Canis lupus familiaris: one gene and its partners. The protein of the gene in region 4 interacts with the protein of the main gene of each other region in a pairwise test. Links are inferred from orthologs where the notes say so. Each region holds a gene or a part of one and is shown on either strand. Other genes may lie near its edges.

Region 1 (5,243 bases), on a different chromosome or scaffold from region 4:
TGGCAGCCAGGAGACCTGGGTTCTGGTCCTTGTGCGGCCTACTGCTCATGGGTGGGTATGGCAGCTCTGCCTCACTGGGCCCATGCTTCCCTTCCGGAAGTGTGGGTGACAGTGGCCTTCCCCTTCACCATGAGCTCTCTTGGCTGCTATTTTCTATCGCTAATCTTTTCAGTGATCTGTTCTTTAGCATTAATAATTTCCTCTATACACTAGCTGGGTCTCCCTTTGCAAGTCTGGTTAACTCCTTTGTCATAGTGTTCTTGGGCTGTTATAACAAGATACCAGAGATGGGGCAACTTAACGTGTTTCTCACAGTCCTGGAGGCTGGGAAGTCCAGGATCAAGGTGCCAGCCAGATCAGTTCCTGGCGAAGTCTAACTTGCCACCTTTTCTCTGTGTTTGAATAGGGCAGAGAGAGAGAACTACAATGTCTCCTCCTGTTCTTACAAGGGCACTATTCCTACCCTCCTGGCCTCCCAAAGACTCCCATCTCCAAATACCACACCGGGTGCTAGGCTTCAGCATTTGAGAGGGACACAATTTAGTTCAGAGCTTCTATCTGCGGCATTATGTCCAACCTAAGTTGACTGAGTATTGATGGGAGGGGGCGGGGGGGAGTCACCAGCTAATAGGTGTTTCCAATCTTGGCCTTACACCAGCCCTTCTCTGTACCTATTTAATTCTTTGTATCATGACTCCCTGTCAAGTCCCCTACAGTAGCTATTTCAAATTTTATTCCATTCTTTATCCTTCATAGCATCCTTCCTGCCCTCAGCAGACAACCTTAATCCTTAATTTCCTGAGATGACACAGGCTATGAAGCACAACCCCCTTCAGTACCCTTTCTGTCTGTCTCAGGAAGAGTCACCTCCAGCTAAGGCAAATTCTTTATCTCCTCTCTTACTCTTCAGCCCCTTAAATGGAGCTCCTGCTAAGTTCTATTTTCAGAACCTCTTCTGTGTTATGAGTGGCTGCCCATTCAAACCTTTCTCCAGGCCGTTGTGGGGTGGAGCGTTGGTAATGTCTTAAGCATCCACCCTCTGAGGGGCACTGTGCCAGGCATGCAGAGTCGCGGCGTGGAGATGACTGCCACCCACCCGCCATAACTAGGCAAGCTGCGAATGATGCGTTGAGATAAAAAGCAGCATATCTTCTGCAGTTTCAGAAGAGTATGAGCCAGACTTTGACGAAGTTACACTTCATGTTCTTCCATAAATGTGCAGATTTACTTCATTCCCTTAAAGGCACCCTAGTATCCCTATGGTCGTGTATTCAACGTGGTCTCTGTCAACAGACAATTCGTTTTGTTATCTTTGGCCGTTATGAACAGCGCTGCAGGGAGCGCCCCCGAACCTGTCTTCGCTTACGACTGCGGGCATTTTCGCAGTATGAATTCCTAGAAGTGTTACTGTTGAGTGGAGGGCGTGCGCACGTTCTGCCAATTCCCGCCCGCGCCTGGCTGGCCCCGGTGCGCTTACGGCCGGTGGGGAGTGTAGAACGTGCGGCCCAGAGCCGCGGCGGCCTCCGGGCGACAGGCGGCGCTGTAAGCGCGAGGCGGCGGCGGTGGCGGCGCGGGCCGCGCTGGTCCACTTCCGGCGGCGCGGGCCGCGCTGGCCCACTTCCGGCGGCGGCGGCGGCGGCGGCGGCGCCGACGCCGAGTCCCAGCGGGCGGCGGGCCGGGGGGCGCCATGCCGTATGCCAACCAGCCCACCGTGCGGATCACCGAGCTTACCGACGAGAATGTCAAGTTCATCATCGAGAACACGGACCTGGCGTAAGGCCCCGAGGGAGGAGGCGGGCGGCTGCGGAGCGCGGGGGGCTGGAGCCCGGGCCGGGCCGCAGAGCGGGGCGTCCGCCTTGGCAGGGGTGGGCGCGGGGTGTCGGCGTCGAGGCTGCGGCGCGCTCACGCCGCTTTGTTTGCATCCCTCAGGGTGGCCAACTCCATCCGGAGGGTCTTCATCGCCGAGGTGCCCATAATAGGTAAGCGAAAGCCGCCTGTCGTGGCCAGCCCCCTCCGCACACCTCGGGCCCTGCCCCCAGCCCTTGGTTGGGGCGGCGCGGCGGTGGCTCTGAGAACACAGCAGTGCTGGGCGTTCGCTCGGACCCTGTACCCTTGGCCCGGGGCCGCTAGGGTCCTCTCCTAACGTACGGATCGGCGCAGAGTGGACGGCAGTCTGCGTACTCGGGTGTGAATCCGTCCCGTCTGCTGCACGTAGGGAACGTAGAAGCGCCAGGCAGTGTGCTAGGAACTGGGGACCCAGAGCTGCATAGCGCGGGGTTCTTGCCCTTGTGGAGCGCACGGTGAAGTTGCAGGGCAGAGGCGAATCCACAGATGACACGACTGTGGGGCAGATGTGCATCAGCAAGCAGTTCAGGAGAAGTATGACTGCAGCGCTTGCGGTGTTTGGAGGAACGAAGATCTGCTTTAGTTCCAGCAACCCTACCTCGGGTGTTCTTTATGTGTATAAACATTACAAGTATTTTCTGAATGTTGACTCAAACTTTGGGTTGGAAAACGAAGTGTAACTTCTGGCTGCTGCACTCCCTAAGGAAATGAGCAGGCCCATTGATTGGCAAATGAAAGAACATCACAGTCTGCACTACCGTCATCCCCAGTCACTTCTTCAGCTTGGAGCTTGGAGTGCTGGTTCTCCCCCGTCCCTAGTCATTCCAAGTCTCTGGGTCTCAATTTTATCATGAGTAAAATAAGAAAGTTGTGCTTTATGATGCAGCCCTGATGTTACAAGTCTAAACGGCACTCTTCCCACAGATTCAGTTCTGCAAGTAATACTGAGCACCTGTTACATTGCAGGCCACACTGGGAAAGCCAAAGGCGTTTGAAGACCACCCTCTCTGATTTTTCAAAGCTCTGCAGTAGAGACAAGACATACACAAATACAGCACAAGGCAAAAATATGACAAATGTCTTTAGTCTGGTCAGAGTTTTGTGAGGGAGTATTAGTGTCTGTTTCGTGGAGGTCAGGCAACGCTTGGTTTATAGGAGGCTCAGAGGATCGTAACTTCCCCAAGGGAGGGTAAGGTCATGTGGGGTTGGAGGGAGTAGGAAGACAGAAAAGCTTGGCTCATGGGTCTTATCTGACTTGGGTTGGGGAAGCATTAGCGTAGGACAAAGCAGATTGGGTCCTAAATGTCTAGTCCTCTTCTGACTCCCATTCCCAGTGTCCACACCCTTTATTTGGTAGTTGGCCACTTATGAATTTGCGTATAGGTATTTTATTTATAAATGAATATGTTTTTAAGTCAAGTGTGTGTGTGGGAATACAGTCCTTACCTTTATTAGCTCGTTGCTGGTAGGAATTGAATTTGATACTTACTATGCTGTGCCCGCTGAATTCTTTAAACGTTAGTTGGTTGATAAAAAGACTTAAATTGGGTAATCTGGTCATTGCATCATAAAATGAGATATGGACCATAAGTCTGTTTTTTGTGAGATTTTCTCTATTTTAAGTGCCCATGTAGTTTGTGTTTGATTTGGTGTTGATGTGCATAGCAGACAACATGCTTCCTACAGAAATATTCAGCTCAAGGAAACATGTTCCCAATCCCATGATTAGTATCCCTTAGTATTCTCTAAGTCAGTATTTTGAGTGGGACAGCACACCTCCCCCCCCTACCCTCACCCTGCACTAAATCTGAGTAGGGAAGGGAGCTGTGTTGCATGTGGATCTTGTTAAAATGCAGATCCCTTGTCCCCACTCAAGCTGCAGAATCAGCCTCTGGCTGCCTGGCCCAGGCCTCTGTAATTTAGTAAACATCAGGTGATTTTTTAAATCAGGAGAATAACTGCTGTAAGTCTTTAAATTTGGTGGCTAAACTGCATGTTTGCTTGCCTTATTTTTTAGCCATTGACTGGGTCCAAATTGATGCCAATTCCTCAGTCCTTCATGATGAGTTCATCGCTCACAGACTTGGTGAGTGCTGGGTGTTGAAAGGTGAGAGGGAGGGGGCTGTGCCTGACGTCAGAGGAGGAAGCCTCACTCCCATAAGGATTTCTAGGTTCTCCTTTAGGCTTGGCCATTGCCATTTGGACTTTTTTTTTCTTTTTCTTTTTCTCTTTAATAAAGATTTTATTTACTCATGAGAGACCCAGAGAGAGAGAGAGAGAGGCAGGTACACACACAGGCAGAGGGAGAAGCAGGCTGCATGCAGGGAGCCTGACATGGGACTCAATCCAGGGTCTCCAGGATCACACCCTGGGCTAAAGACGGCGCTAAACTGCTCAGCCACCCAGGCTGCCCGATTTGGACTCTTTAAAGTGCATTTCTGTTTCTTCCAGGACTAATCCCCCTGACTAGTGATGACATTGTGGACAAGCTGCAGTATTCCCGGGTATGTTGTGTGATTGGGTGGAAGGGGCAGGAAGGAAGCAGCCCTCAGAGGCATTTTCCTGACCTCTTACTTCCAGCTGGAGATCATGGAGATGTTGCCTAGAGCCTAAGCAGACACAGGGCCTCAGTTCTGACAGGCCTCAGATTGTTTAGGCTTCAGGGGCATCAGGGAGTCTCTCCAGCCACACAAGATGGGGGATATACACCAGAATACCCATTTATACTCAACAGTGGGGGCAGTGCCTTTTCAGAGTCTAATCTATTCAGACTGTTTTCCAGGGTGTCCTTCTCAGTGATAGGAGCCTGGAAGGCTAAAGAGAGTCAACAGAGGGTTGGAGAGTTTGGGGGGCGGGAGGGTGAGAACAAAGAAAGGGAGTGGGAACTGTCCCCCGTGGTAGCACCTGAGAGTCTGGAAGGCTGGCATCTGCCAGATATGTGCCTCTTCCTGTAGGTAATGCTCATTAAACATGCCCCTTCCTCGAGGGTCATGTTTGTTCCCTGATATGTTAACAGGCCTTGGACTTGGCAGGAATGGGACAGGATTAAGTTCCCTGCTTCTTTTCCCCAGTGCTGTGTTAGGTAACAGTTTGAGACTCTTCTCTCTCGGTGGCTTTGGGTGATCCTGAATCAGCGCATCATCTGATATTCCCAAGGGCATGTCATTTTTGTGGTGGTAGATTTGATATATGTTATAAATCTGTATTTTTTTAGAGATATGTGGAGCTTACCTGACCAGTACTCTCACTCCTGTCAAACAACTTGTCATATTCTAACAATTTGCATGCAGATTTTTGTTTGTCAAAAATGAAATGTCACAAATATTGGTGAGGATAGTTGTACAACCAGTTGAGCAGTTTGGCAATGTCTTGGGTAAAAGTACCCATGCCCCATTGAC
Region 2 (5,164 bases), on a different chromosome or scaffold from region 4:
CCCCCCCCCCCCCCCCCCCCCAGCTAGTAAACTCTGAGTAAGAGTCAAAGAATTCAATCGAATGCGACACGCAGAAATGTTGCAAAAGTCTCGGGGTACGTAACTCTCCATACGCCCTTACACTCCCTCCACCCCCCCCCCCCCCCCCCCCCCCCCCCCCCCCCCCACAAAAAAAGCCTTTTAACTGGTTAGAAAGGAGAGACCCCGGTTGGTTGGTTTTTGTCTCCTCCTCCTTTCTTAGGGGGAGGTGCTAAAGAGCAAAGAAATCACCAAAAGACAGGCCGGAAGAAGGAAAGCGAAAAGCATGGAGTCTGGACAACTAGACGTTAAGTAACTGAGAACTATAACCAAATGATAGGAAGTTAGGAGGGAGTTACCTGTTAAACACCTCCCTGTAACCCCAACTCACCTGAGCGGCTCAGACTTTACCAACCTGGCTGAAGGTACAGCCACACTCCAACTCGCCTCTCCTCAAGTATTCGCCGGTACAAAGGCACGGAAAGAACTCTTCCTGACCCTCGCCAGTAGTAGCGCCGCAAAAACAACTCTGAGGCTGGCCGCGGCCACGCTGGCCGGGCAGTCCCTGGGCCAGCGAGGCCACCGGAGCCCCTCCCCGCGGGGCAGGGGACCCCCCAGACCACCGCCCCGCCCCTGAGGTACCAGATCCCTCCCTCCAGGCCGGACGAGGAGCAGCGACCGGACCGAGTCTCGACTGAAGAACCCGCCGCCGCCGCCGAGGCCCTCCGCGCCCGTCCGCAACTGCGGTCGCGGCCCCGTGCCGCCCATGCGGGACCCAGGCCCGGGGCCCCGCGGGGCCGGGCGCGAGCCTCGCCCCCGGCCGCCCCGCGCCGGCGGAACCCGCGCGAACCCCTGAGCTGCGCCGGACGCCGCCGTGCGGACCCAGTCACTGGCTACCTGTCTTCGCTCTTGTTTTTCTGCTTCTTCCCCATCGTGTGTCAGCGGCGCTCGCGGCCCCAGCCCCTCTCTTCGGTCTCTCACAGACCCGCTGTCCCCCAGCCGACTTCGGTCGCTCCGCGGCTCGGCTCCCCTCGCGCTGCCGCCTCTCGCACCCGGCTCTCCACAGCCCCGCGCACTGGGACAGGGCACATATGGTGTGAGCGCTCAGTGCGCAAGCGCATCGCCCCGCCGCCTCGGCGTGGGGACGCAGGGCGCGGCTCATCGAGAGCTGCGCTTCGGGTAGAGCGTCTCCGGCAGACCCGCCGCCAGGCGGGACCCGAGCGCCCCCTTTCCGCAAGCGTCCGCCGCGCGCGGGTAACAGCTGCGTCTCCTGGTTCTAGAACTCGGAGACAATGAGGCTGAAAATCCCCCTCGTTAGCTCCAGCTCAGCGGCGGAACGCAGACTTGGAGTTTGGAGCTCTGTTCCGAAGTCAGCCTTGCGCTTTGCTTCCACCTCTCTATCTTCGTATTCTCAACCGCACGCGGGTCACTAAAGAACCGCGATGAGCCGGTGATAGGCACTCTAGGTCATATATCGAGGACACATTGGGCCTCTCGATAACGTCCATGAATTATCAAGTCCGTTCGGTCACTAAAAAACAATGACCGCGAACGAAACAAGGACACACCGTTAGTTCCCCGAACTAGATCTTAGTCTTAACGCTCAAAGCGACAGCAATATCTAAGAATTTGTTAGGGAAGTCAAAAGGGAACCTACTAGGATAGAAAACACGTTCAATGTCTGGATCTGGACGGTGTTAACTATGTAAAAACTAACCGTGCTCTGGAAGTTATACCTCAACTTAAAAAAAAAAAAAAAAAAGTTCATTAAACACAAAGGAAGTGAAGTTGGGATGTCACTCCGGAGCAAGATCGTAGCCATCCCGTTTCTGATGTAACATGACGTGTCCTGAGGCTCCGAGCCTAAGAAAGTCCGACGCGGCCAGGCTGAGCACTGACGAACTACAACCTCCAGCATACTTTGCTCCCCGGCGCGTGGGCGGCCGACCAAGAGCCAGGCTAAAAATCGGAAACCTCCGGGGGGGGGAGGGGAGGAAGGGAGCTGCGCACGCGCAGAGGCGCTCCCCGCACGCACGCCCTCCTCCCCCGCCCCACTTCCTCGGGCGTCTCAGGTTGTATCGCGTGAGGGCCGCAGCCAAAGGGGAGGCGGAAGTGACGGCCGGTTCGCAGTCACGGGCAGCTGCTGCGAGGGTGAAGCCAGACTGGACTGCCTTCCTGGAGCGGCTGGTTCCTCACTTCTCCGGTGTCACCGAGAGCTCAGGTGAGGCAGAGGATGGTGTTAAAAAAAACCGGCCACCGCCTCCCCGTGCTGATGGACACTTCGCCACTCAACATCCGGCCCGGGCGGGGGAGGGGCGCGGCCCAGACGTCGGTGTCGGTGAGGCGGAGGCGGCTTCGGCGCATGCGCCGCGGGAGGTGTTGAAGTCGGGGCCACCTGCCCTCAGCCTTCGGCTGTCCCTGGGGCTCTGGGAGTGGCGGGGAAGCCTCGGGGGGGGGGCGCGGTTCCTCGGGTGCAGTGAAGGTTGTTTGGACGGGTGCGTGTAAGGGAGTCAAGGAAACGGTTAGGTGATTTGAAGACAAGCCCCTTCCGACCGTTCCCGATGAACAGTAAAAAGGAATCGGGTTTGTGGTTTGAAGGATGAAAAGTCATCAGGATCGCTACACCATCTCCCTTCCCTTTTGTGAATGTGGTGACCACCGTCACCTGTCCCCAGAACAGCTCGTGTTACTGGCTTCTGTCCCCAGTTATCCCAGAATTAAATTCTGAGTTCAGTCTCCTAAAACTTCAGGGATAAGCATCCGCTGTAGCTTTAGTAAGAACAGGTTCTGACATATAACTTAGTGTTTTGATAACCAGTTTTCTGCCTCATCCGGCCCCAGCCCTAAGGGAAACAGTCGTACTGACGTTTTTCTTTGGAGGTAGGAAGTGTGAGATTATTTTTACCATATTTGAAATGCAATTCCTTAAAAATACATAGCATTTATGAGGAGCTTACAGTTTGTTTATTTTTTTTTTATTTTATTTATTCACGAGAGAGAGAGAGAGAGGCAGAGACACAGGCAGAGGGAGAAGCAGGCTCCATGCAGGGAGCCCGACGTAGGACTCGATCCCGGGTCTCCAGGATCAGGCCTTGGACTGAAGGCGGCGCTAAACCGTTAAGCCACGCAGGCTGCCCAGTTTGGTTTTTTTTAAGTCAGATACTTTTGAAACTTAAGGATAATTTGAACAAAAAGTAGGCACATGTTCATTCAAAAGTTTTTTTTGAGCACCAGCTGTGTTCCAAGCATTGCTAGCTCTGGGGATACAAAAATGAAATCAATTGTGCTTTTCATCTGCTTTTCCTGCGAAGAAAAAAGAAAAGTGAAGTTTGCAAGACTACTACTTTTGATTTCAACAGTTGTAGAGAGTTTGCGTGGGCCAGGCTATATGTCAGTAACTTGGTCAGTGAGTTCACGGTTTATTAAGATTTTCTTCAGTAGTATTTGCAATCGTGTCATAGTTGAGATCAACAGCTTCCTGCTTTCATAAGCAAGTTATAAATTATATTTCTGTGGTAATAACCCATGGGTACACATAAAATTTCCATCTGTTGCTGACAGAAAATATTACATCTTATAGAATGTGTAATTAAGATAGAATTTCCTTTCCTATCTGAATTAGATTGTTTTTAAACTCCTACCTTACATAAAGGAGTGTTAAAAAATCAGTATTTTTAACACTTGGAGTGATACTGTTTCACATCAAAGTTAAGAACACTGTCAGTAGATCCGTACCAGTATTGATCTTTTGTTAGGGCATTGGAGAAAAGTAGTGAAACTAAAGTTTGGGGAACACCAGGCGTAAATTGTTCTTTACCTAATTTGTACATAAATTGTGATGCAGTTTCTCAGAGGTTAAATGAAAATCATTTAGGTAGAGACCTTGAAAAATACGTTGTTGGCTCAACTCTGTTCTATACTGAAGCAAAGTTTGTTTTGTAGATGTATATGTAAAACCTCACTGCACTTAAACTTTACCACATCATTATTCAGTCGTTCCTGCTTTATTTCTCTTCTGGTTTAAACAAAGAAGCACTATCAATTTATGTCACTAGGTAGAACTCCAACTACTCATTACTCTCTGGTCTTAAAGACTTGTTTTTGCTTTGTTGTAGTGAAGCACAAACTAAATCAGAAGCACCTAACCTTTGTTCTAAGTAATATTTGAGTGGTGTGACTATAACCTATTGAAAATTCAATTTTAAAAGATTTCAATAAGGGATGTCTTGGTGGCTTAGTCAGTTAAAACGTCCAACTCTTGATTTCAGCCCAGGTTTATGATCCCAGGATTGTGAGACAGAGCCCTGAGTCGGGCTCTCACCGAACACACAGCCTGCTTAATATTCTCCCTCTCTGCCATCCCCTCCCCTCCCTCCCTCAATCAATCAATCAATAAAAACATTTAAGTAAAAATTCTTTTTTTTTTTAAGATTTAATTTATTAGAGACAGAGAGGCAGAGGGAGAAGCAGGCTCCATGCAGGGAGACCGATGTGGGACTCAATCCCCGGTCTCTAGGATCACGCGTGGGCTGAAGGCAGCACCAAACCGCTAAGCCACCAGGGCTGCCTTAAGTAAAAATTCTTAAGTGTAACACAAAATGTTTGGTTGTCAGAACTCTTTGTAGAGTACAAATTATACACTTGCTAGAATTTTTTAAAATGAGAGAAGAAACTTTACCTTTTTTCTCCCCCCAACTTTGCAAACTTTCTCCCTAGCACCAAGGCTGAACTGTACCATTTAGAAGAATGGAAGCTAATGCATCTGTTGACATGTTTTCAAAAGTCCTGGAAAATCAATTGCTTCAGACCACCAAACTAGTAGAAGAACATTTGGATTCTGAAATTCAGAAACTGGATCAGATGGACGAGGATGAATTGGAACGCCTCAAAGAAAAGAGACTTGAGGCGTTAAGGAAAGCTCAACAGCAGAAACAAGTAACCTCTCTGCCCTGCTTTCTGAAATTACTTTAACAGTATGCTCCTAACAACTTATATATACATGTGCTGAAGTACTTTTATATTTCAGTCCTCATTTCTAGAGTTGTTTTCATTTTTTGCTTCAGAGTACTATCACTGTTAAAAATGTGCTGGGAAAAAAAATAGTTTTAAAGCGCATTAAAAATTAGTTTGTTCAGTATGTTAATCT
Region 3 (4,619 bases), on a different chromosome or scaffold from region 4:
TAAAACTTTATGCAGCCAAAGCCATCAAAGCCATCAGCAAGAAACTGAAAAGATGGCCCAGAGAATGAGAGAAAGTATTTGCAAATCCCAGATCACATAAGGATCTAGTATCCGGAATATACAGAAGAACTCTTACAATTCAATAATTAAATAAAAAATAACCCAATTTAAAAATGTCCAAAGACTTGAATAAACCTCTCCAAAGATTTATACAAATGGCCATTAAGCAATGAAAAGATGCTCCATTTCATTAGCTATCAGAGGAATTCACATCAAAATCACAATGAGATATACTTCACGCCCACTTAACTATTTGTGTCTCCTTTCAGATCAGCACAGTCCAAAAGAAATGTAATACCAGGGATCCCTGGGTGGCGCAGTGGTTTAGCGCCTGCCTTTGGCCCAGGGCGCGATCCTGGAGACCCGGGATCGAATCCCACATCGGGCTCCCGGTGCATGGAGCCTGCTTCTCCCTCTGCCTATGTCTCTGCCTCTCTCTCTCTCTCTCTCTCTCTCTCTCTCTCTCTGTGTGTGTGTGTGTGTGACTATCATAAATAAAAAAAAAAAATTAAAAAAAAAAAAAAAGAAATGTAATACCAGCTGGCAGATATATAATTTAAAATTGTCTATTAACTATATTAAAGTAAAAAGAAATAGGTAAATTAATTTTAGTGCTGTTTTACTTAACCCAATATATCCAAAATATCATTCCAATAAGTAAACAACATAAAATACTAATTAATGAATAATTTTACTTTCTTTCATGCTAAGTCATTGAAACCTATTGTATATTTTCCACAATCAGCACACCTCAATTTGGACCAGCCACATTGAAAGTACTCAAGAGTCACACATGGTTTATGGCCAGTTACTGGGTGGCACAGTTCTAGACTCTGAGCTCCGTGAGCACTTCACTCATCACTATGTTCTAAGTGCCAGCAAAATGCCTGACATGCAGTAGGCATGCAGTAAATTAAGTGTTAAATGCAGGAACATCTGCTCTCCACCATACTATAAAAACTAAACCACAACAAGGTTACTAATGTGCTTTCTAGAAACTTCTGGGTCATTTTATGGATTTACCACCAGCAGTGAGGTTTAAAAGGATAGTGGGAAGACGAAGGCTGCCCTTACTTCTATTACAGGGTACTAGAACAAAATGCTTGGCCTTTTTAACCCCAGGGCATTCTCCTGTCTCTAAGCACTCAGACTTTCTCTTCCTCAAGTCCCTTCCTCCAAACTCATCGCCTCACTGAGCTCTGGTCCCCACTCTCTTGCAGACTCTCAGGTCTCTCTCTCCTCAACTGGTAGCTCCTTTCTCCCCAGATCCACTTATTTTAGCTTTGCTTAAATAGTACTTCCTTTTTTTTTTCTTTTTAAAGATTTTATTTATTTATTTATTCATGAGAGATACAGAGAGAGAGAGAGAGGCAGAGACACAGGCAGAGGGAGAAGCAGGCCCCATGCAGGGAGCCCGATGTGGGACTCGATCCCGGATCTCAGGATCACACCCTGGGCTGCAGGCGGCGCTAAACTGCTGCGCCACCAGGACTGCCCTAAATAGTACTTCCTAAGCGAAGCCTACACTGACTCCCTATTTAAAATCCAATTCCATCCCACCCTCTCCATCCTTTCTCTGCTCTACTTTCCCCCCAACCCCAGGGTCACCTTCTGCTCTCAGCTTGCTCAGTGTTTGTGTCCTCTCACTGGCAAGCAGACTGGTTAAAGCAAGGATCCCTGTCTCTCATCCACTAGTGAATCCTTCGCATCCAGAACAGATCTTCAACAATGATTTGTTGCACTCAATCTCTTATCACTCCTGAATTTTGCTCATTCTTGCTCTTAATCATGTCCATGTCCTATTAGGTTTTTCTGTTCAGAGAAGTCTTTCAGAAAGTCTTCCTTTATATATCTTCCCCTGATCCCAATTCTCTGAACAATGCTCCCACATATATAGCACAGCAAAGAAAAACAGAACATCTTAAGAACTTTGGGATGAACAGAACTGAGAATGAGTCTTCATGTTTTCCTAACTTCTTTGCCCACCCCAAGCTAATTAAGTGCTATCCTTCATTCAGTTTATTTCAAATGGAAATTACTTTTCCAAAAAAAGCTAAATCAGAGATGCTCCTATGAATGCTTGTCCTTCAAGAGATCCCAAATCTATGGATCACAAAATTAAACTGTGAGTTTAGAAGAATAAAACAATATCAGTGAGGAAAGTCTTACATGCTGGTCTGGGGACAGAGCAGGGTGCAGCCAACCAACCAGGGCTCTTACCTGTGCCAGGCCTCTCAAGAGGGGATAAATCCCATGCAGGCTTATCACTTAGGGCTGCTTCAGGCTCTCCTGGCTCACCTGGAACCATAAAGGTAAGGGGCTGCTTCGGCTAGAGAGGCCCTGGGAATTCCCTAAACTTGCCCCTAAAGGATCTCCCCGAAGTCCTTACTGTCCTTCCAGAGCTTCCTGAGATTAGAAGAGGCATAGGACAAGTACAGAGGAGAAAAGTACAAAGACAGAGAGAGCCACCGTGGGTATACATGCCTGAAGTCCTATATACATGCCTGAAGTCCTCAAGCACAGGAGAATCAAGTATATCGTCATAAAAAAGTATATCATCCCTTTCAAGAGAAGGAGAACTCTGAGACAGGGCTGTGAATGCAGCATGAAGACCATGTACTGCTGTGACTCCTGAGGCTGACCTGACACCTTGGTGAAGTTCGTAGATGAAGCATGCTAACCAGTCACAAGCAGCAGTCCCCACCAGCTGACAGCCTCACTGGACCATCTTGGATTACTGGGGGCCACATGATGGCTATGATGGTAGGGGGACGGACCCTAAGGAAGTGACCCCTTCATGCTTCATGGGCATAGCACTATGGCACTTGCTTTCTATCAGTCTGCCCTAAAATAAGGACCCTACAGACCCCCAAGACCCAGTTTTCTTTCATGGTTATATGTTACATGCAATTCAAACTAACAGTATCATTGAAATGGGAAAACAGTATTTTAGTTGACAAGAAAACCAGATGTGCTTTAAATACTATGTAATTTGAACCAACCTCTTGAGCTCTTGAGCGAAAAGAGTACTGGATATAGAACATGTGAGAAAACTGCCTTTTGAAAATAAATAATATATACATACAGATTTCTTTCAGGAATACCAACACTGGCACAGAGGAAACAGCCCTGTCTGAGAGTGTGGCCTTACTTCCACTCCTGAGCAGGCGCTTCTCCTCCTCCTTCAGCTTGTTCTGCATCAGGCGCAGAGTATTTTCAGCTTCCTAGGGAACAACAAACACAAGACTCAGAAGAAAGGACCCTGTTCCGGACTGCTTTATTGTTCTTTAGCATCTAGGTACGTAGGGCTAATCTGTGCTGCAGGACCAGCCAGGATCTAAAGTACACGAGAAGGATCAGCGCCCAGTCAACAAGCAGGGCCGGGTCCCAGCACTCCTGTTCTCTGCCAGCAGCCCAGAGAAAGGTAGGCAGCCAGAAGTGGGGCAGCTGACCTCCCCCCCGAGCCCTAAAGAACACGAAAGGATCCACTGAAATGCCCATCACGTGTGTCACCGTGCAATGCCAACAGGGGAGCAGATGCATCAACTACGGGACAGTACAAGGCTCCTGCTCCAAAGACCAAAGCTCTGCACCACTCCAGCCCCAAAACATGCTAAATGGTGGGGCTGATCACAATGAAAAGAAAAAGAAAGAAAAGAAAAAGAAAGAAAAGAAAAGAAAAGAAAAGAAAAGAAAAGAAAAAAGAAAAAAGAAAAGAAAAGAAAAGAAAAAAGAAAGAAAGAAAAGAAAAGAAAGAAAGAAGAAGAAAGAAAAGGAAAGAAAAGGAATAAAAGAAATGGAGATGATGATTGTGGGATGACCTTCATTCGTCTTTTCTTCTTGCTCCTTCCTTCCGCGCCTCCTTCTCCCTCCCTCCTCCCTCCCCTTCCCCCTCCCTCCTCCTCCCTCCTCCCTCTCCTCCCTCTCCCCTCCCTCTCCCTCTCTCTCCCTCCCTCCCCCCCTCCTCCCTCCCTCCCCCCCCCTCCCGTCCCCTCCCTCCCTCCCTCCCGCCCTCCCTCCCCCTCCCTCCGCCAAGTAACGAACGAAAGAATGTCTCCCTGGTTGGCGCAGCGGTTTGGCGCCTGCCTTTGGCCCAGGACGCGATCCTGGGAGACCCGGGATCGAATCCCACATCGGGCTCCCGGTGCATGGAGCCTGCTTCTCCCTCTGCCTGTGTCTCTGCCTCTCTCTCTCTCTGTGACAATCATAAATAAATAAAAATTTAAAAAAATATATTATAAAAAAAAGAAAGAAAGAAAGAAAGAAAGAAAGAAGAAAAGAAAGAAAGAAAGAAAGAAAGAAAGAAAGAAAGAAAGAAAGAAAGAAAGAAAGAAGAGTCTAGTTTTTAGGGGCACAAAAGCTAACACTTCAGCTCAGTTACCAAATGTAGCCCTAATTACTGTCAAAAGAGAGACTATGAGAGGAGATTGGCCTTTAAATATTTGTTGTTGTTCTAAACATTATAATGAAAGTTCTGTTTCATGCATGAGATGGCCTTCAGGCCCAGGTGCTAGAAGCACAGAGAGTCTGCGTGAACACAAGAGGATGAAAAAACCCGC
Region 4 (5,218 bases):
GATGACAGTGAGTGTCTTCCCATCACGCTCCGCCGCTCGCCGCGCCACACCCCTGCCAGCTGACGTGCACCCTCCTGGCGGCGCCCAGCCTCCCGCTGACCGGGCTGCTCCGACCCTCGCCCCGGGATGAGGGCAGCGAGCTCTCTGTGCAGCGTCAAGCCCCGCCGAGCCCGGTGGGCCCCCTCCCACCTTCACAGACCCGTCGGGACCCCGGGCCGTCCAAACCCTCTCCCTGAGCCCCCGCCCCTCCGCTCCCTCCCCCGAAATCCCACCTGCTGTCCAGCCCGGCTGCCCGCTCCCCTGCAAGCCTCCGCCTTCCACAGAGACCCCGACTTCGGCAGTTATGACTTTCTCGACTGAAGCGCCCGGTTGGCGAGCCCACTCGTTTGTCATCGATCCCGGCCCCCATGCTTCCTGCTGCGTTAAAACAGCTCCCTCTTACACTGCGATTCACCATCCGCGTGTCGGAGTCCACGCTCGCCAACTAGAGAGTAAAGATCCTAGAAATCACAAGCCCAGCTTCCCTGCTTCCTTTTTTAGAGGGTGCGAACGCACCGCCGAGGGGCAAGGCAGATTGTATCCCAGAAGCACGAAACGATGCAATGTGTCCGTTTCCATAGTAACTTCAACATCCCTTCTTCTCTCGGGGCTCATAGGGATGGAGTGTAAACTGAGGCAAGGTTTTTCTTTTTCCCTTGCTTGGCGGGATGCGTGTTAGAAACAGCAATCCTCCTTCAGCCTAGCTGGCCAAAGTGTGGTTGGAACCCAGAGCCCCCGAGCGGCCGCCCTGGGAAGGCCAAGAACCCAGTGAAGACCTCCCCGATCCCCCTTCAACATGCATGGGGGTTTGCAGTGCCCAGTGGCAGCCCCGCCTCATCTCTGTTCCCTGCCCCAGACAGACGCCAGCCTTTTCCTGGCTCCTCACCATGGACCGTGAGCGGCAGGGAAGCCGGGTCCCTCGGGCTCCACTGGGTCCCACCTCCCCCGGGGGGTCGTCTCTGAGTCCCCAGCGCCATTCCTCCTCCCCGTACTGTCCTTACCCTGGTTGGAACTTCTAGCCTCAATCTCAGATGTCAAGTGGAGGGGGGATCAGACTTAGTTCAAGAGTTTCTAGGGAAAAGAGTGGGACCAAAGAATGAAGAAGGGGGCACATTGCCGCCCAAAACCCAAAAGGCCGCCCTGTGCCAGAGGGACAGACGGGGAAGACAAGGTTCACTCGGTGGGGAGGGGGCGGGGTAGCCTGTAAGTCCTGATGTTGCTTTGCCCCCCACCAGCCGCGTGGAAGGGAAGCCCCTAAGGTCCCCGCCCAAACACCGGGGAGTCCTTCCTGCCTCCACTTCCGCCCTCGCCGGAGACCTGAGGTTGTTAGATGTCCAGGCCGCTTTGGAAACCCACTTGCGTCTGCGGGTTCCCTCTAATCCCTGGACACCGAGCCCCCCGAGCCCCAAATCTGAAGCCCTCTCCTGCTGCTGACTGCTGGGGCCTGGGCCAGGGCTGTGCCCGCTGACTCCTCAGGCCCCCTCCAGCCGACCCCGTGCCCCTTGTGCCCTCCCCTTGCCCCCACCCCACTTCTCTGGGGCTGGCAGGGACGGGGCAGGCGGGCCGCCCAGCCCCGAGTAATTGAAAGGAGCAGATGAGAGGGGAGCGTGTGTCCTCCCCCACCTCCCCTGCCTCCTGGGGGCCGCAGAGAAATGAAAACTAATCGAATTACAGCAACGGCCTCCCTCCCGGTGCACAGGAGCCGCCCGGGCCGGGGCAGGCGGGCTGGCCGGGCGGGGGCTGGGGAGAGGGCAGGGGAATCACATCTAATCCACTGTAAACGTCTTGATGTGCAGCAACAGCTTAGGGGGGGCTCAGGTTTCTGCGGCATCGGCTATATTTATCTCTGGTTCCATGCCAGCGGGGAGGGTTTAAATGGCACCCAGCAGTTGGCGTGAGGGGCTGTAGGAGCTTGGGGGCCGGTGGCAGGAGCAGGTCCTTTCCGACCCCATGGAGCTCTATGAGACGTCCCCCTACTTCTACCAGGAGCCCCACTTCTATGACGGGGAGAGCTACCTGCCAGTCCACCTGCAGGCCTTCGAGCCGCCGGGCTACGAGCGGACTGAGCTCAGCCTGAGCCCCGAGGCCCGGGGGCCCCTCGAAGACAAGGGGTTGGGGACCCCCGAGCACTGCCTGGGCCAGTGCCTGCCGTGGGCGTGCAAGGTGTGTAAGAGGAAGTCGGTGTCGGTGGACCGGCGGCGCGCGGCCACGCTGAGGGAAAAGCGCAGGCTCAAGAAAGTGAACGAGGCCTTCGAGGCCCTGAAGAGGAGCACCCTGCTCAACCCCAACCAGCGGCTGCCCAAGGTGGAGATCCTGCGCAGCGCCATCCAGTACATCGAGCGCCTGCAGGCCCTGCTCAGCTCCCTCAACCAGGAGGAGCGGGACCTCCGCTACCGGGGCGGGGGCGGGCCCCAGCCGGGGGTGAGTGGCTGCTGGTCCCTCGCAGCTGCCCCGGGGGGGTGGGAGGCCGGTGCCCGCGCGGGGCCGGGGGGGGGGCGATGCTGCAGCAGGCGCCGGGGGGGCCTAGACACGGCGGGGGCCCCTCGGCAGAGCCGGGCTGCCCAGCTAACCCGTGTCCCTTTGTCCTTCAGGCCAAGCTGGGGGCGGCGGGGGGACCTGGAGGCGGGGGGGGGGGCGGGCGTCAGGAGGGAGGCGAGGGTGAGTCCGGAGCCGGCCTGGGTGGGGGCGAGGGTGAAGGGGGCGTGTGGCCCAGCGCCCCGCTTGCTGCAGCCGCGTCCCTCACCTCTGAGGCTCCGGAAAACCAGGGACCCCTTCGGCTGGGTGGCCTGGGAGGACAGGGCCACGGCCAGAGACGGGGGGCAGGAAAGGCCCGGAGGCAGGGGGCGTGTGGCCAGCGGGGGCACAGTCTCCGACGAGGCCCTGGGGCCCACCCCCCACCCCGCGGCGGCGACAGAGGGACGGAGGGACGCCAGCAGTGGCCGCGCTCTGACCTCGGGCTTCGCGTCCTGCAGGTGCCCAGTGACTGCAGCTCCCACAGTGCCTCCTGCAGCCCCGAGTGGGGCAGCACCCTGGAGTTCGGCCCCAGCCCCGGGGGTGAGTGAGCCCCGCACCCCTCAGCCCAGGCCTCTGCCTCACTTCCCGCCCCAGGCCTCTCCCTGCCGAGGCTGCCTCCCGAGGCCCAGGAGCCGGGGAGCCGGGGAGCAGGCCAGGCCTCCTGCCCCTCCGCGCCCGGCGGTCCCCAGGGTGCACAGGCGGCTCCACTCACACCAGCGGGGAGGTCACGGGCGGGGGAGGGGGGTTGGGTGCTCAGCAGGCACACGGACGTACACGCACACCCGCACCCCCTCCCTGCAGGCCCGGGAAAGGCAGGGCCTGGGGAGCAGGAGCCCCGGCTCCCACCCAGCCACCATCCTGGAGCACCCATGCCACTCCGAGGGCCCCGTCACCCCCGGGTAACACCCTCCCGTCTCCCCGCAGACCACTTGCTCGCCACCGACCCCTCGGACGCCCACAACCTGCACTCTCTCACGTCCATCGTGGACAGCATCACGGTGGAAGACGTCTCTGCGGCCTTTCCGGATGAAGCCATGCCCAACTGAGGGCGCCCGTGAGCGTCCCCCCCTACCCCCCGCTGGCCGCAGACGCCTTCCTAAGCCGGGCTGTCCTGATGCCAGAGAGCCAGCCCGGGGCTGCCAAGCGCCAGTCTCCCCCCCCCATCCATATAAGGCCAAGTCACCGTCCCCCCAGAGGGGTGGCCGCTCTCCCAGCTGACTCCTGAGGGCAAGGAGCAGCCTGTCTCCAGGGAGATAAGCAGGGACCAGAGGGCCCCTCGTGTGCCCCGTGTGTGCCCCAGGTCAGGGGCCAGACTCAGGAGCTCCCCTTTGTTCCTGATGCTCCACCTCCTCCCTCGATAGAGACTGCGAGAGGCGAGCTGGTCCTGACCAGGACGAGCTGTGCGCCTCCCGCGCTTGTCCCTCCCGATGCCAGCGGCTGGGCTGGGCCTGCCCTGCACTGGGAGACAAGGGAGGGGGACGATCCTGCTCCTGGGTCCCGGGGGGGTGGGGTGGGGCAAGCTTTGCAGTGAATCCTGGGAAACTTCCAGTGGTTTCATGTCTTGTGTTTGCGATGCTGCCATCTGACCAAGGTCTCCTGCGTACGAGTTGCCAGGGACAGGCAGGGAGGGGGGCAGGGGTCTTGGGTGATTTCCTTTCTTAACTAAGCATCGTGTGGTTTTGACATTGTTTTGTAATTTTTTTTGCTAACTTATTTGGATTTCTTTTTTAAAAAATGAATAAAGACTGGGTGCTAGGAGAGCGTCCTGTGTTGATGTCGGGGGGTGGTGCCCGCCAGCCCGGCCGTTCCCCTCGATGGTGTAGACACAGCCCCAGGGTGGGGAACTCCCAGGGCCTGCACCTGGTGGGGCTCTGAGAGCAGCTGAGGCAGCACTTTGCTGGTCCCACCAGCTGCTGGGAGCCCGGCTCCTTACAAAGGCCACTGGGTGTGGCCCACGGGGTGGGTGAAGGCCAGACCCATGGACGCCTCGAGACCTGGAGAAGGGCCCGGCCGGCACTGGGGGCCCCCCTGGTTCGTGGACACTAGACCGTAGACCGTGCACCGGGTATATGAGCTCCACCTTAAACCCCAGGACCCGTTCCCTTCCACCCATGGGCATGCCCTGTGCCCAGCTCTCATCCCACAGCCAGCTTGCAGAGTGATGGATGGGAATTTGTGGGTCTCCCGTCCCTCACCCCTGCCTCTCCTCTGGCCTGAGGGTCCAGGAGCCCTGCAGGGGGGAGGTGAATAGGTCGGTGTGATTGATTGGGGTCAGACGCCGTCACGTCCGTGCAGGCCACCCAGTCTTTCCTCTCTGCATCCTGCCAGGCCCCTGCCCACGGCTGGAGGATGGACGCGGTCATGGGTGCAGGGGCAGGGCCCCAAAGGACAGTCAAAGGGAGGGAGGCTGGGCTTGTGTTCATGCGCCGCTTCCTTCCAATGACTGGCCGAAGGGAGGAGGTGGGGGAGGGCGGGGAGTGAGAATACAAGCTGAGGCTGAATGGACTGCGCACGTCTATGAAAGTCTTACTAACTCCAACTGCTTTAGGCTGAATTTGTCTGATTTATTGCAAATTATAAGTTTGAGAATCATTAAGGAGTCTGGGGATCCAGAGCGTGACACGGTCCGGCCCCCACTCAATTCTTCGGGGCCCCCGATGGTGGA
Region 5 (3,483 bases), on a different chromosome or scaffold from region 4:
AAGCATGTAGCTAGACACATCTTTTCTCAGAGGGATCGAAAGATCAAAGTATTCAATCAAACAGAGGGCTCTTTGAAGCAATAGGGTGTGAATCATGGATAACCTCAGCCATCTCAGCAGAAGCTAGGAATTGAGATGGCATTTTCCTGGAAGGATCTGTGAACAAGTTTCTTGTCTAAGGGCACAAATCCCCATGTAGTATGGGGTGGGGAATTACAAGATTTTTGAGTATGCTAAATCAGCAAAAACTATGCTATCTTTAACTGAGAAAATAGATGAAATGAAAGAAGGTCATGGAGCTCCCAAAATTTGACAAGAGGAAAACAGGCTGATAAAACTACTCAGCTGAAAACATGTGTTCCATTCAAAATAAAAGGAAGGTGATTTTGAGGACAGAGCCGAGGGCCTAGAGGGCAGAGCTGTGGGCCAAGATGAAGTCATGGGATCAGAAGGAGCCACAAGCTACAAAATATTATTCCCAGACCTTGAAATGTATGTAGGTTTGTCTGCTTGATCCACATTGCTTGGATCAGACTCTTTTCTTCCTGCTACTTCTCTCTTTTGGATTGGAAATGTCTTTAATTGTTACCGCTGTAAATAAACCCCAAACAAAGCAGAAACACCAACTTCGTGGAAAGGGAAATTAAAATGAGAAAAAAATAATGGGGCGCCTGGGTGGCTTACTCGGTTAAGCATCTGATTTTGGCTTAGGTTGTGATTTCAGGGTCCTAGGATTGACCCTGGCATGAGGCTCCATGCTCAGCAGGGAGTCTGCTTCTCCTTCTCCCTCTGGTTTCTCCCTGCTCATGCTCTCTTTCTCTCTCTCGGTTTCTTTGTCTTTCTCAAATAAATAAATAAAAACTTTTCTTAAAAAATGAGAATAAAATGAGAGGAAACACCTCTTGGTGCTTTGGCTTCATCTAGGACAGCCAAGAAGACACAACTGGACTTAAACTAAGTGCAAAGTACACTTCTCTCTCTAAACAATGTTTACGTGATTCTGAAAGATGCATCCATTGAGCATCTCATTATGACTTCCACAATGATCAAGAGATATTTTTCAAACAGTGTAAAATGAAGAGGCTAATACAGGTATGAAATAAACGTGTATTAAAAGATTCTATTTAATCAGTGAGGGAATGGGAAGAGGATATAACTGGTTCATAGAGAATCCAAGGATTAGATACAGGAATGTTAATCAAAAATATTTAAATGCATGTGTGAATGGAGGCAAAACTGGTTTCATTATATCATGGAAGGGGGACAATATAATCTCTACTAGACAATACATTTTACATATTTATCACTAACCTACAACTAATGAAGGATTGTAAAAGGCCTCAAAGACCATATAAGGCCAGAATCAGATAATGTAGAGTGATGTCCTAAGACGGGGAAGTTTCCCATTGGAATACACATTGATCTCTACAATGTTAAAATCAAGCAGAAAATTCTAGTTCTCTCAAAATCAGGGTCTGTTCATTAGGGTGACCAGGTTCCTGTCATGGACATTTCTGGGCTGAGGCCTGATAAGGACACAGTGGACACCAGTGACATCCCAAAGTCTATGATGTCACAATGAGGGGCCAGGGCTTAGGAATATAAATGGGCGGGGTTGACCCCTGTTGTCTTGAGAGGCACAGTGCAGCTGGGGAATCAAGCAGAGCTGATGGAGCCAAACCCTGCCAACATCATGTCAGGGAACAAAAACCATGAGAGCTCCAATCAGACTCAAGCCCATCTTGTAACAACTGAGCTGCAGTTCCCTGTGAGCTATGTGGACCGCCTCCTGCAGGAAGATCAGCGCACCCACTGCCTAAGTTCAACATCTACTGAATTCCTCCTTGCCATGCTCGACTCCCTCACCGACTACATCCTGGAGCGTGTAGGCACTGAGGCCAATAACAACAACATGCAGACTGCCCCACAAGATGTGGAGAGAGCAGTGGGCAGCAACAGAGAGCCCCAACAATGCCTGAAGGATACAGCCTTCACTCTGTTTGATGAGATGCCTAGATCCAGGAGAAATGGCTAAAGCCTGGGTCCTAGACTTGTGGGAGTCCTCACAGCCTTAGTCTAAGCCAAGACTTCTTATAACTGAGAAGTCTGGCTTCTGTCATCAGTTAATGCTATTAAAGTGTTGAAGCTCAGGGCTATGCCTCTGACTTGTCTCTGTTTCTGTCCTTCCGAGTCGGCGGGGTCTGTGAGACACCCAGGAGGAGATCTCCTGTGGGGAGTGGAGGGAGGAAGGGGTGATCAGTGTGGGAGGCTACAGTCCAGTGTTTCAGGGAGGGGTTTCTCTGGGCCCTGGGGGGGAGTAGCTGGCTGCAGAGGAGAGACTTCCTCATGGGCTCTGAGCAAGTCAAGGCCTGTGGGCTGAGAGATTGGCAGCGGGTGGGGGGCTTCCCAGGCATGTTGAGTTCCCAGAACCATGGTGGTAACTGGGAAGGTCCTGAAGCTCGTGACTGAGGTGCCAGGAACCTTATTCATGAGAAGGGAACGTGTAGAAGTCAGAAGGTGATGGCAGTGCGGGTGGATGGAGAGGATGGCAGAGCAGTTGACGTGAACTTGATGGCATGAGCTTTACGTGAAGATTGAGGGGCGATGGGGAACCCATGAAGAGGTATACAGAGTGGAACGGTGCTCAGGTTGATTTCATTCACTGATACCCTGCCTCATTCCAAAAAAGGATGTAAGACAGATAATATTAGTGCTGTGATAACGTTTTGTGGAGTATGTCCTTGTGTCCTCTCCTGTGGACACTGGTAAGTTAAGTGATTTGGCCTAAAACAAGCAATTATAAACTATCTGGCCTAAAACAAGCAATTTGGAGAGTTCTTAATACTTGCATGTCTCTCCCTCCCTAGTAGACCAGATGCTTAGGTGTACTTCTGCAAGTGCCCCTGCGCCTGGTTCTCCCGTGATTGCTGGGCTCCTGGACCTCTGGCTATGAAACCACAGCCCACTAAACCCTGTGGAAACACAGAAAAGTGCCACACAGAGGAAGAAGCCAGAGGTATTCCTAGGAACCAGATAGGCCTCAGCCTAGTGTCTTCTCTGCTCCCCTCTATGTGGTGACTCACTTCCTCTCTGCCTCCCTCCATGGTGACTCACCCTCTCTCTGCCTCCTTCCATTATCTTTCAAAGTGTGGAGCTGTCTCTGCCTTTGCCTCCTTCACAGAAGTGTCCTGACAATAATAGGGCCAGGGTTGTGTTTAGAGCTCATTGGAATATGGGCCTGTATAAATCCAAGAAACTTTTCTTGCTCCCCTAATGCCATTCAACCAAATATTTCCAGAAACCTCACTGTCAGGATGTCCACCCCACATAGTTGTGATTTGTTAGAGAGCCTGGAGGCCCTTCTTGCCTCAGCCAAGTTTAACTGTTACTTTTCTGTTCATCTGAGTATCAAGCAGGCCTCTCCTCAGCAGCTGCAGGTGAGATTGTCCTTCACCTGGTCACAGGAAGCACCAACATTGCTAC
Region 6 (4,619 bases), on a different chromosome or scaffold from region 4:
CACCATAAAGAGCGAGAGCATGAGACAAGCTAGTTTAGCACCATTTATTAAGTGATCTCAGCTGTTGTTGTAGCTGCTGTATATCAGCCTGTTCTTAAAACATAAAATGCTCTTCCAATTCCTCTTGTCCAGGACAGAAGGATCTTCCAGGTAGCACGCCAACAGAACAAGAGACTCCGATGATGCCAGCTTCAATGATGGTGCCATCCAGAGAGGGAGAGGGTCATGGCACATTCAACCGCGGCTTCCAGAGGTTTTGAAAAAGGAGCCTTTGGGGGCCCAGCCTGCCTGGCATTCTAGTGGAAGTGCAAAAGGTGGGCACATTGGGAGAGGAAAGAGAGGGAGACGCGAGGGAAAGTAGCATCTGGGACTCAAGGAGGGTTTCTGGTCCCTGTGGCTGTAGGGCTGGAGTGCTAGGCAGATCTCTTGATAAAGCAGCGAGCAGCAGACTAAGGCAAAAAGCCCACAGGCTCTCCTAGACTCTGTAAGAACTTGTTCACATTTTCTACAAAAGTCAGGAAGAATTGCCTCAGGGTATTAGAGAGGGAGAACAGTGGAGGGGAGAGTTGAAAAATACCTCTTTCCCTTTCCTATCCAGGTAAAAGCTTGCTTTTGTGGGGATTGGGGAAGTGGTGGGGGGCATTTGGGAACCTTGACCATAAGAGTCCTAGAAAAAGTAGGTGTAGACCTTTCCAACCTGGACCATGACTGGCTGGAGGGCAGAAACTATTCTCTTCCAGAATGAAGAATGGGGGAAATCTGCCTAGAGAAAAACAATGCTAACTCAGGAGTGCTAAGGCAAGCAACCGGGGCCATGGCTGGCTAGTAACTGTTGGTGTTTACGGAGAAGTCACAGCCAGCTATGTGATTGCGGACCAATGCTTGTGGCAGTGTTCCCAGTAAAAAACTGGCACTTGGCTAGTTTAAGCCAATTCCACCCACAACGTTATCTGTAAATGCATGGGAAAAAGATTCCCAAATAGTTTGCCTGCTGAACACCATCGCTGGGCTCGTTACTGGTCTTTAATAAGAATAACATGATGATGATATTATTACTAATGATGACGATGACAGCAATAATAATACTTGGCCCTGCAATAGCATTCTCCACCTGAGGACGTTCAATTACAAAGATTAAATCAGCCTCACAACAACCCTGTTAGATAAAGTATTATTATCCTCCATTTTACAGATGGGGAGACTGAAACAGAGTGGCAGAGACTTGCCAAAGGCACATATTGATACTGGAGTCAAAGGAGAGAGTTAAACCTCAAAGTCCTGACTCCTAGTTGGCTAGCTCTCCCTCTAGTTTTGAGAAAACCTGACAGCCACTCCCCACAACTTCTTCAAAATAACCTGAATTTACTTATGACTTTGGTCACTGAAGGAGCAACCCTAACCTATGATTCCAATTTGTGGACATCCAATTCTAGGTACCCCGAGTTCTAGGTAGATCGCAAAGCTTACTTCCCCCTTAGATTCTACTCTCACAAACGCACTATTCTGCCTCCTCTACAATTTCAGTTCTACACACAAGGAAGTAGAGTCATCATTTCCGATAAGAAGTCGATTTCCCAGGACAAAGAAAGCAGACTGACACTAACAAGTTAAAAAGACATGCAAAAGTGGGGTGAGGGGCAGACAGGGAGGAGGACTGGACTATTCAGTGAAATTATCCTTAAAAACAGCAAGAAAAAGAAGAGCGCTTTGTCTTTCATTTTAAGATAGTGGTTAGTGAATGAAAGACAAGACAGCCTGTGTAAATGAAGCAAGCCCAGGCAGTACAACTGGGATTCTGCAGAATTCTGCAGAAGGGCTCTCTCTGATACAAAGTGCCCCAAGTGTAGGTGGGCAGGGAGCCTCACCAGCAAACAACTGCTACAAGTGGCCAGAAGCACTAGAGGGGAAGATTGGTCTGTCCCTTCTCTGTAAGTCAGGCTCCTGTACAACCACATATCCCTCTGGGCCCAACTAAGGACCTATTTCGGCTAAGCTTAGGGACATGCCCCCCGAGCACCCCCAACACATACTTGATGCTGTCGGTGTGGGTTTTGTACTCCATAATGGTGTTGGGAGGTAGGTTAAGCACTCGCCGAAGGGTATCCCGGATGCGGGCTGTGGTTGCTTGGTCACTGGCAGTCTTATTCCATATTGAAATAATGTCCTCCTATAGGAGGAACAGAAGGAATCGTCAAAGCAAACCAGAGGAAGTGAGGAGAGCAAAGGCAATACAGGAAACCAGACCTGCCCATGGAGTGGCTTACCTGAAACCGGACAGAGACCACAGCCCCACAGATCTCCTCCCCAACCATGAACTGTTCCCCCAACATGGCCAGGATGAGATTCTCCCAGCAACGGGATGCCAAGCCCTTCCGCAGTCGAATAATCCACTTGCCACCATTTTTATTTGCATCATCCTGTACAAGAAAGAAACCATTAAAGTTAAAATGTGCTTTCACAGGTCTTTTACTTTTACATGATAAAAGCCGGCAGGATCAAAGCCCATGTATCCCTTGAACACTAAAGTCTTGTCACCTTCCAGTTATTCAACTTTATAGGAAAAATGATGGTAGGACAAGGGAGACAAGAAATGGGAAAAAAAGAAAAACAAGGTGGGAATCCTTGGTACAAGCCATTACAACGAATGGCTAAACTGACCCTTTAAAAACAATTCTCTCTCTTTGGAACTATTTCAGGAATCAAAATGAAGCGATGTCAGATTTCAAACACAGATTATTCCTCGCTTCATTCACTAAAAGTTTCCCAAGTGTCACGATATCTCAAGTACACGGACATAAAGCCACAGTCTCTACCAGACCCAATCTAGTGGATAAATCAGAGCAGTACAGTTGGAGAAGTGTTGCTGTACCAGAGATACACTACGTTAAAGAAAAACAAGATAGAAACACTCAGGAGGAAACATTTTAAGCTGGGTCTTGAGGGATGCCCAGTTAGGCAAGTAAAGCAGGTGAAGGGCTCTGCAGGCATCAAAAAAATCATGTCTGTGTACAAAGTGGTTCGTGTGTCAGGGAGACAGGCAAAGAAGAAGACTAGCACACTGAAGGGAAGGCTGAGGCATGCTGGGAGATGAGGCCTGGAGGGCAAGTGAGTGCAAGAGCACGTGAGCAATGCAGAGCTGCAAAGGGCCTGTAGTTAGGTGTGCACGTGTGTTCACATTTGTCTTCTAAAAAAAAAAAAAATGCTGGGATCCCTGGGTGCTCAGCGATTTGGTGCCTGCCTTCGGCTCAGGGCGTGATCCTGGAGTCCCGGGATCAAGTCCCGCATTGGGCTTCCTGCATGGAGCCTGCTTCTCCTCTGTCTGTGTCTCTGACTCACTCTCTTTATCTGTGTCTCTCATGAATAAATAAATAAAATCTTTAAAAATAAAAAAAAATAAAAAAATAAAATAAAATAAAAAAGGCTGGCATCAGAATAGAAGATGGATTACAGCAAAGAGATCTCAGAGCTCAGCTCTGGGTCTTTAACTACTGCCTATAAGCAAGCTTACTTTTTACCAGCTTCTATCACATGTACACTACAGTACTATATCACATACATGTACAACCAGTTTGATGGGAATGGGGTAATTAAAAAAAAAAAAGTCCTTTAATGTTGTTATAATACCATTTTAGTGATATAAACAATTTCTGTAAACCACCGACACAGACATGCAATGACATCAGTACCTTCTCCAAGGCCCTGGCTCTAAGGATATACCAAATAGTGATGTAGCTTTGAGGCAAGATTTCAAATACTTTTACTCTTATTAGGGAGAAAAAACCCCAAACAATCAGAAAAGTGATCTGAGATCCTCCATGCTTACCTCCCACATGGGCTTAATTCCTTCTTTGAAGAGATGGAAGTCACTGTGGCCTGTCAGGTCCCCAGGACGTACCATGTGGCTATAAAACCTCCAGAACTGCTCCACCTGTAGAGAGAAGACCCCAGAGTACAAAAGATGTGTCTTTTCTTTTTCTTTGAATATGACATTTAAGAGAAGACAAACATGGAAGACACTCTGCTACAGACTCTATTTTTTTGAAGATAAATTTTCATTTGGGGAAGTATGTGGGAAGGCAGGCACGTTGTTTGTTGATACAAGAATGAGGATTGTTTATTTTTTTATTTTTAAAAGATTTTATTTATTTATTCATGAGAGACACACACAGAGAGAGAGAGAGAGAGAGGCAGAGACACAGGCAGAGGGAGAAACAGGCTCCATGCAAGGAGCCTGATGTGGGACTCGATCCTGGGTCTCCAGGATCACACCCTGAGCTGCAGGCAGCACTAAACCACTGTACCACCCGGGCTGCCCTGTTTTTTTTATTTTAAGATTTATTTATTTAATCATGAGATACACAGAGAGAGAGAGGCAGAGCATAGGCAGAGGGTGAAGCAGACTCTTCACAGAAGCCGGATGCGGGCTTTGATCCCAGATCCTGGAATCACGACCTGAGCCGAAGGCAGCCGCCCAACTGCTAAGCCACCCAGGCACCCCAAGAATGAACTCTTTAGGTGAAAAATGACAGCCTCAGCCTGGAGTCCTAGTTATAGAAGCTCCAGGATAATCACTGCATGCTAAGAGGACCTTGTTTTACACAGTGGAATCCTTTTATTTT

The links.
Region 1: the proteins of MYOG (region 4) and POLR2C interact in a two-hybrid assay, tested with the Homo sapiens proteins (2 studies listed by BioGRID and IntAct). The link is inferred for Canis lupus familiaris from reciprocal best matches to the Homo sapiens genes MYOG and POLR2C.
Region 2: the proteins of MYOG (region 4) and TXNDC9 interact in binary tests that used the Homo sapiens proteins (3 or more experiments, as listed by UniProt). The two-hybrid records come from large-scale screens. The link is inferred for Canis lupus familiaris from reciprocal best matches to the Homo sapiens genes MYOG and TXNDC9.
Region 3: the proteins of MYOG (region 4) and CLUAP1 interact in binary tests that used the Homo sapiens proteins (3 or more experiments, as listed by UniProt). The two-hybrid records come from large-scale screens. The link is inferred for Canis lupus familiaris from reciprocal best matches to the Homo sapiens genes MYOG and CLUAP1.
Region 5: the proteins of MYOG (region 4) and H2AP interact in binary tests that used the Homo sapiens proteins (3 or more experiments, as listed by UniProt). The two-hybrid records come from large-scale screens. The link is inferred for Canis lupus familiaris from reciprocal best matches to the Homo sapiens genes MYOG and H2AP.
Region 6: the proteins of MYOG (region 4) and EIF4E2 interact in binary tests that used the Homo sapiens proteins (3 or more experiments, as listed by UniProt). The two-hybrid records come from large-scale screens. The link is inferred for Canis lupus familiaris from reciprocal best matches to the Homo sapiens genes MYOG and EIF4E2.

The regions. Positions count from the first base shown.
Region 1 is NC_049223.1:58,229,779-58,235,021, reverse strand, and holds the start of POLR2C (DNA-directed RNA polymerase II subunit RPB3), read left to right. Parts: upstream 1-1,618; 5' UTR 1,619-1,687; coding exon 1,688-1,773; intron 1,774-1,929; coding exon 1,930-1,979; intron 1,980-3,862; coding exon 3,863-3,931; intron 3,932-4,296; coding exon 4,297-4,349; intron 4,350-5,243. UniProt on the Homo sapiens protein: Core component of RNA polymerase II (Pol II), a DNA-dependent RNA polymerase which synthesizes mRNA precursors and many functional non-coding RNAs using the four ribonucleoside triphosphates as substrates.
Region 2 is NC_049231.1:44,389,253-44,394,416, forward strand, and holds the start of TXNDC9 (thioredoxin domain-containing protein 9), read left to right. Parts: upstream 1-2,000; 5' UTR 2,001-2,239; intron 2,240-4,734; 5' UTR 4,735-4,764; coding exon 4,765-4,953; intron 4,954-5,164. Other genes in the region: EIF5B (eukaryotic translation initiation factor 5B), read right to left, coding at 916-950. UniProt on the Homo sapiens protein: Significantly diminishes the chaperonin TCP1 complex ATPase activity, thus negatively impacts protein folding, including that of actin or tubulin.
Region 3 is NC_049227.1:38,020,414-38,025,032, forward strand, and holds part of CLUAP1 (clusterin-associated protein 1), read right to left. Parts: intron 3,285-4,619; coding exon 3,212-3,284; intron 2,359-3,211; coding exon 2,281-2,358; intron 1-2,280. UniProt on the Homo sapiens protein: Required for cilia biogenesis. Appears to function within the multiple intraflagellar transport complex B (IFT-B). Key regulator of hedgehog signaling.
Region 4 is NC_049228.1:241,124-246,341, forward strand, and holds MYOG (myogenin), read left to right. Parts: upstream 1-1,926; 5' UTR 1,927-1,989; coding exon 1,990-2,460; intron 2,461-3,011; coding exon 3,012-3,093; intron 3,094-3,477; coding exon 3,478-3,599; 3' UTR 3,600-4,298; downstream 4,299-5,218. UniProt on the Homo sapiens protein: Acts as a transcriptional activator that promotes transcription of muscle-specific target genes and plays a role in muscle differentiation, cell cycle exit and muscle atrophy.
Region 5 is NC_049260.1:32,883,116-32,886,598, forward strand, and holds H2AP (huntingtin-interacting protein M), read left to right. Parts: upstream 1-1,615; 5' UTR 1,616-1,669; coding exon 1,670-2,035; 3' UTR 2,036-2,165; downstream 2,166-3,483.
Region 6 is NC_049246.1:44,382,472-44,387,090, reverse strand, and holds the end of EIF4E2 (eukaryotic translation initiation factor 4E type 2), read right to left. Parts: intron 3,929-4,619; coding exon 3,824-3,928; intron 2,418-3,823; coding exon 2,265-2,417; intron 2,168-2,264; coding exon 2,031-2,167; intron 297-2,030; coding exon 224-296; 3' UTR 25-223; downstream 1-24. UniProt on the Homo sapiens protein: Recognizes and binds the 7-methylguanosine-containing mRNA cap during an early step in the initiation. Acts as a repressor of translation initiation.